2 linked regions of the Oryctolagus cuniculus genome follow. The protein of the gene in region 1 interacts with the protein of each later gene in a biochemical or structural test. Links are inferred from orthologs where the notes say so. Each region holds a gene or a part of one and is shown on either strand. Other genes may lie near its edges.

What was found.
Region 2: the proteins of RNF14 (region 1) and UBE2E2 form a complex in vitro, tested with the Homo sapiens proteins (2 studies listed by BioGRID). The link is inferred for Oryctolagus cuniculus from reciprocal best matches to the Homo sapiens genes RNF14 and UBE2E2.

Annotation. Positions count from the first base shown.
Region 1 is NC_091437.1:29,524,476-29,528,292, forward strand, and holds part of RNF14 (E3 ubiquitin-protein ligase RNF14), read left to right. Parts: intron 1-1,185; exon of another isoform or gene 1,186-1,224; coding exon of another isoform or gene 1,225-1,296; intron 1,297-2,092; coding exon 2,093-2,620; intron 2,621-3,817. UniProt on the Homo sapiens protein: E3 ubiquitin-protein ligase that plays a key role in the RNF14-RNF25 translation quality control pathway, a pathway that takes place when a ribosome has stalled during translation, and which promotes ubiquitination and degradation of translation factors on stalled ribosomes.
Region 2 is NC_091435.1:159,441,906-159,445,722, forward strand, and holds part of UBE2E2 (ubiquitin-conjugating enzyme E2 E2), read left to right. Parts: intron 1-2,095; coding exon 2,096-2,243; intron 2,244-3,817.

The sequences.
Region 1 (3,817 bases):
GTTTAAAAACAAAGTTAAACTTTAAAAAAAAGAATAGTACATGAAGAATAAAGAAAAGAATATTACTTTACATTCTGATATCTGTGCCACAGATAATAGATGCAACACAAATGATTAACTTGGCCAGAAATATTAAGACTGTTTGACATTTAGATCACTGATAGGTGATAAGTAAATATTTGGATATTTATAATCTTGTTTCTCTAGAGAGCACTTGGTATTTTACATGCATGCATGTGCATACATATACCCAAACACATGCGTGCTCACACAAAAACACACACACACAACAGGGACAGGTTAACTAGGTAGGTGGTTGCAATTTTAGATGCCAGCATCAACATAATGCTGGCTTTTGTGGGGAGGTGGCAGAGGGTATTCATTATTTTAAGTCTTATAGTCCCATGTAGGATTTTCTGACAGTTTTATGCATATGATTGGGGTTTTAATTGATCACTTAATATTTCTTGTTTCAATTCTTGTTAATCGTTGTACTCTGATTTCATGGTATTGGGAATCTTGCCCATTAATACTGAAACTGACATGTGTAGGAGTCATTCGCTGACTGACTGAAGGAGGGAAGTGGGTTTAGTTTTCCAGTGTTTTCCATTGTTCCCCCTCAATATGCACGCACACAACAGAGCTTCTCTCTTGCTGTTAACCCTTCCTTCTTCCCGTTTACATGTATCCTGCTGGTCTTTTGAGAAAAGACTAGAGAAGCAGAGAGGATGGAGGGGAGCTGCTTGGTCATTGACCTGCAGCTTACACAGCACTTGGAACTTCCCTTTTAGTATTTATTATGTTTAACAGATTTTGATGGATTTCTCAAAAGTATGATTGACCTTAGAAATATCTTCATGCATATGTGAAAAAACATTTGCTGTCCAGTTTTAATTTGCCAATAAGTATTTAAGTTAGCGCATGTGCAGGCTCATTCAACAGCATTACACAGAGCCAGGAACAGAAAATATGGCCCCTTTTCACTTGTTTATAAAATTTGTTTGCCATCTGGAATGCTTATTTTTGGATGTTTACCTAAAAAAGAAAATCTGCTTAGAATTCCTGAGCTCAACTTACAAATATTTTAAATTCCCAATGGAAAATCCTCTTATATTTGCCTTTCAATTGAACAGACCACTTTTTTTTTTTTTCTTAAAGATTTATTTTTTTTATTTGAAAGGCAGAGAGAGAGAGGGGTCTTCCATCTGCTGGTTCACTCCCTAGATGGCCACAATGGTCGGAGCTGTGCCGATCCGAAGCCAGGAGCCAGGAGTTTGTTCTGGGTCTCCTAAGCAGGTACAGGGGCCCAAGGACGTGGGCCATCTTCCACTGCTTTCCCAGGCCATAGCAGAGAGCTGGATCGGAAGTGGAGCAGCTGGGGCTGGAACTGGCACCTGTATGGGATGCCAGCGCAGCAGGAGGTGGCTTTACCTGCTATGCCACAGTGCTGGCCCCTGAACAGACCACCTTTAAAGAGGAAAAGTTAAAATAGTTTTACCTTTGTTTTCTTAGCTTAGGAACTGTGAGCTTTGTCTTTGACAGCCAAAGCACATTGAGGGCTTGTGATGGTGTCCAGGGTCCATGTCAGTCTGCTTCCCTCCATTTACCAGGATCTGATGGAAGCCCAGATTGCTTTGTGAAGAGTAGCTTGTAAATCTGAAAGATTGAATTCTGTTTAGTGATTCTTTTGGGTGAGTTGGCTTTTTGATTGGCCTGGAAGTTAAAATTAACTTTAAAACAGGTGGTCTTTGAAAACTGTCCTTTGCTAACCAGTTTCAGGGCACCCATGGGGGCCAGGACTCCCCAAGGAAGGAGAATAGTTCATTTTAGAACGAGATCTCTTCTCTTAAGGAGTCTTGGTTTCTCTCGTTTTCACAGTGCTGTTTCTTGCTTCTGCCTTCGTGTCCTGCCCTTGCTTGTGTTGGGAGTGGTTACCAAGTCCTCCCATGACTGTGTTGGTTTTGCAGTGGAGACAGCAGCAGGAAGCGGGGAGGCCTCACTTAGAAGTTGAAAGATTTCAAAGGAAGTCGGGAGGCAGAGGCAGCAGCAGCATCTTCCAGACTCAGCAGCTTCCTCGTGTTTTCTCTCCTAGCTGTCCGCTCTGTGCAAGCACCTGGACAACCTGTGGGAAGAACACCGAGGCAGTGTGGTCCTGTTTGCCTGGATGCAGTTTCTTAAGGAGGAGACCCTTGCCTACCTGAATATTGTCTCTCCTTTCGAGCTCAAGATGGGATCTCAGAAAAAAGTGCAGAGAAGAACAGCCCAGGCCTCTTCCACCAAAGAGCTGGAGTTTGGAGGAGCTACCGGATCTGATGTAGACCAAGAGGAAGTCGTAGATGAGAGAGCTGTGCAGGATGTGGAATCACTGTCAAGTCTGATCCAGGAAATCTTGGACTTTGATCAAGCTCAGCAGACAAAATGCTTTAACAGTAAATTGTTCCTGTGCAGTATCTGTTTCTGTGAGAAGCTGGGTAGTGAGTGCATGTACTTCTTGGAGTGCAGGCATGTGTACTGCAAAGCGTGTCTGAAGGACTACTTTGAAATCCAGATCAAAGATGGCCAAGTTCAGTGCCTCAACTGTCCAGAACCAAAGTGTCCTTCAGTGGCTACTCCTGGTCAGGTAACTGCTTTGCTGATGTAGAGTTTTGCAAAGGGAGATCCTGCCTAAGGAACTTCCTTTATAGGGTTCGTGGGGGAATCAGAGACCTTGGAGCCAGCCCACAAGTTGTTTCGCTCTATGAGGAATGCTGTGGTCTTTCATTTATGTGAATGTAAATGCTTCCATAGCTGCTCTGGGAATGGGCAGTCCTTGGCAAGGGTGAATGCTAAAAAAGTAATTCCTGGAGCAGGTGCTTGGCACAGCAGTTAAGACACAGCTCGGGATGCCCATATCCCATATCGGAATATATGGGGTCAAGTCCTCGCTCTGCTCGTGTTTCTCTCTTCCTGCTAATGTGCATCCTGGGAGGCTCGAGTGCCTGGGTCCTTGCCACCCATGAAGGAGACCCAGATTGAGTTGCTGGCTCCTGACTTTGATCTGTCCTAGCCCCAAGTATTATGGGTATTTGAGAAGAGAACCAGCAGATGGGAACTTGCTTTCTCTTTCTCCTTTCTCTCTCTCTCACTGCCTTTCAAATAAATAATTTTATAATTATATCTTTTTTTTTTTTTTTAAAGGAATTACCAGGGAATTCTGTTGATTTACTTTGTCTGCGAGGGTCCCTCCAACCTCAGGGAAGTCATTAGCCTTTCTTTGTGTAAGGTTGAAATCTGAAGGGGACATTCCTTGGAATGATGAACTGAATCATTTATAGACCTTAGATTAAGTACAGCCTTTGGTTTTCCACTGTTGTTGCCTCTTTGTTAAGGCAACACTTACAACACACTGTACCTATTTAAATTGTACCGTTTGGAGTGGGCGTTTGACCTAGCAGTTAAGCTTCCAGCTAGGACACCTGTGTCTCACATCAGCGTGGCTGGGTTTGATACCTGGTTCTTGCTCCTAGTCCCAGCTTCCTGCTAATACAGACTCTGGGAGTCAAGGGTGATGACTCAGCTAGTTGGATTCCTACCACTTATGTTAGAGACCTGGGTGTTGAGATTCCGTCTCCTGCCTTTCCTTCCCTCTCCCCCTTCACAGCCTTTGTGATCACTGGGTAAGTGAACCAGCAGATAGAAATGCTTTCTCTAGCTCTAGTTCTGTCTCAAACTTTTTAAAAATTTAATTATACAATCTGTTTAGTTTTTGACATATGTGTAGACAACCTCAGGCAGGATGCAGACTGTTACCACATTTTTAAAAAAAAAAAATTTAGGA
Region 2 (3,817 bases), on another chromosome or scaffold:
GCTCATTAAGTACAACTGATTCAGAATTGTAGCTGTTTTACTGATGAATTATTCATTTTATCATAATGCAGTGGCCTTCTTTCTTCCTAACAAAGCTAACATATATTTGATCTGATAGTAATAGTCATTTAAACTCCCTTTTTTTTTTTTTTTTGACAGAACATTTGCACAATGTGAATATCCGTGGTTTAGAATTCTCTGAGAGAAAATTCCTTTCCTCAGTCCAGAGCTGAGGCTTTCTCTGGCCAGTTTCCTTGCTCGTTCTCCCTTAAGGCATGCCTTTTCAAGTTCATGTTTTCTCAAAGACTAGCTACTCCAGGGTCCTAATTCTTACAAGGGCCCTCAGTTCCAACTCCTTGCTTCATCCAGGCCAAAGATTTCATCTTCTTTCTCCATGAGGACATCAGAACCCAAACTTCCATTTTATTAAGCGGTTGGGTCCCTGCCGCCCACACAGGATTCAGTTTCTGGCTCCCAGCTTCAGTCTAGCCCATCCCCAGCTGTTGTGGCCACCTGGGGAGTAAACCAGCAGATGGGAGTATGTCCACTCTCTGGCTCGCTCTTTCTCTCCGTCTCTCTCCATCTGAAGTAAGTTTTTAAGAAAGAACTTCAGATGTGTGCCGCGCTGTGGTGTAATGGATAAAGCAATTGCGTGCAGTGCCCACATCCTGTGTGGACGCCGATTTGAGTCCTTGGCCCCTGCACCTGTGTCGGAGGCTCAGAGGAGGTTCCTGGCTTCCAGCTTCGGATCAGTCCAGCTCCGGCTGTTGCAGCCATTTGGGGAGTGAACCAGAGGGTGGAAGACCTCTCTCTGTGGGTCTCTGCTTCTGCCTCTCTGTAATTTTGCCTTTCAAATAAATAAATAAATCTAAAAAAAAAAATTTAAGAAGGGAACAGTTTATAAAGTATAACTAATATGGTATGTTGTAACCAGTACAGTTAATAACTAATATACTGCTAAAAAAGAGGCAGATTATATTTTTTAAAGATTTATTTTATTTATTTGAAAGACAAAGTTACAGAGAGAGGTAGAGGCAGAGAGAGGTCTTCCTGGTTCACTCCCCAGATGGTGGCAACGGCTGGAGCTGCGCCGATCCAAAGCCAGGAACCAGGAGCTTCTTCTGGGTCTCCCACGTGGGTTTAGGGGTTCAAGGACTTGGGGTATCTTCTACTGCTGTCCCAGGCCATAGCAGAGAGCTGGATCAGAAGAAGAGCAGGTGGGACTTGAACCGGCACCCATATGGGATGCTGGTGCTTCAGGCCAGGGCTTTAACCCACTCCGCCATGGCGCCAGCCCCAAGAGGCAGATTATTTACATACTTGTTCTATGTAGCACATTTTAAAACCATGTGATGGCATGATATTTTCTTCTTGTAAGTGTTCACATGCTTTTTCATGTTTATTTTTAAATGGGCAAAGTTTTCCAGACAACTGGAATCCAGCAAAGATGTTCTTTGAAACTTTTCAGAGGATAGCATCATTGTTCGCCTCAGAAACACTCCCATAACTGCATCAAGAGCAAATTTCATGCCCAGGACATTTGTTAAATAATCGCACTCCTTTTCTTTTCTTTTCTTTTTTTTTTTTTTTTTGGAAAGGTAGAGTTACACACAGAGAGAGGGAGAGACAGAGATCTTCCATCTACTGATTCACTCCCCAAATGGCCACAATGACCAGAGCTGGGCCAATCTGAAGCCAGGAGTTGGGAACTTTTGGGTCTCCCACATGGATGCAGGGGCCTTAGCACTTGGGACATCCTCTCTGCTTTCCCATGCCATTAGCAGAGAGCTGGATGGGGAAAGGAGAAGCCTGGATTAGAGCCAGTGCTGCAGGCAGAGGCTTAACGAAATAGCTCTCCTTATGCGAAGCAGAATGACAAACTTTTCCTGTTGACATTTCATTCTCTGTGGCCAAAATGATAAGTTCTAAATTTATTACTTTTGTCTATTGATTTATTCTCCTGTGCCTAAGGGAAAACCAAGTGTATTTTAACTAGTACCTGTAATAGTTTACCTGATATTAAAAAAAAAAAAAAAAAAAAAACAGCAACAACAACAAACTGCTCCTAACAACTTTACTTGTTCTACAATTGTAGGTTACGTTCCGAACAAGAATCTATCACTGTAACATCAACAGCCAAGGCGTGATCTGTCTGGACATCCTGAAGGACAACTGGAGTCCAGCCCTGACCATCTCCAAAGTCCTCCTCTCCATCTGCTCCCTGCTCACAGACTGCAACCCTGGTGAGAGACTAAGTTAGCGCTTTCTAAGACACCGACGTCAGACCTCAGGAACTTGCTTACTTTACTACAATACTATTGTCGATTTTTGATTTCCAAAGTATGCAGCTATTTTCTTTTTAAATTGAGCCTTTTCAGTAGTCTTTTTAGGATCTGTTTTTTGCCAAAAATGAAAAATCACAGTGTGATGATAATTAATGAAAAATCATTTTAGATGGGAAAGTACATTTAAGAATGCTCTAAATTCTCCTGCCAAATAATAAAAAAAAAATTCAAATTGAATAGCTTAATTTTTTTAACTTTTATTTCATGAATATAAATTTCCAAAGTACAGCTTATGGATTACAATGGCTCCCCCCCCCATAACTTCCCTCCCACCCACAACCCTCCCCTCTCCCGCTCCCTCTCCCCTTCCATTCACATCAAGATTCATTTTCAATTCTCTTTATATACAGAAGATCAGTTTAGCATACATTAAGTAAAGATTTCAACAGTTTGCACCCACATGGAAACACAAAGTGAAAAATACTGTTTGAGTACTAGTTATAGCTTTAAATCACAATGTACAGCACATTAAGGACAGAGATCCTACATGAGTAGTAAGTGCACAGTGACTCCTGCTGTTGACTTTACAAATTGACACTCTTGTTTATGGGGTCAGTAATCACCCTAGGCTCTTGTCATGAGTTGCCAAGGCTATGGAAGCCTTTTGAGTCACTGACTCTGATCATATTTAGACAAGGTCGTAGTCAGAGTGGAAGTTCTCTCCTCCCTTCAGAGAAAGGTATCTCCTTCTTTGATGACCTGTTCTTTCCACTGGGATCTCACTCGCGGAGATCTTTCATTTAGGTTTTTTTTTTTGTTTTTTTTTTTTGTTTTTTTTTTGTTTTTTTTGTTTTTTGTTTTTTGGTTTTTTTTTTGCCAGAGTGTCTTGGTTTTCCATGCCTGAAATACTCTCATTGGCTTTTCAGCCGGATCCGCATGCCTTAAGGGCTGATTCTGAGGCCAGAGCGCTGTTTAGGACATCTGCCATTCTATGAGTCTGCTGTGTATCTCGCTTCCCATGTTGGATTGTTCTCTCCCTTTTTTATTCTATCAGTTAGTATTAGAACACACTAGCCTTGTTTATGTGATCCCTTTAGCTCTTAGTCCTATCATTATGATCAATTGTGAACAGAAATTGATCACTTGGACTAGTGAGATGGCATTGGTACATACCACCTTGATGGGATTGAATTGGAATCCCCTGGTATGTTTCTAACTCTACCGTTTGGGGCAAGTCAGGAATAGCTTAATCTTTAATTGGATGCCTACTAGAAGATGTTAATTTGAGAAATGTGGGCTATTAAAATCTGATAACAACCAGGCAGCGCCATACAGATGTAACCTTTTTGGTATCTTAATAACCATGCATCCTGAGAACCTATTAGAACAAAAAAACCTGGATGTTCTTGAACTAGAAAATACCCAAAAAGTAAACAAGGAAATACAGCTTCTCAGAAAAACCAAAGAATTTGTGGTGTACTTCACATTGGAAGTTCTTAATTTCTCTGTGCATGTCTGTATTTGACTAGTTT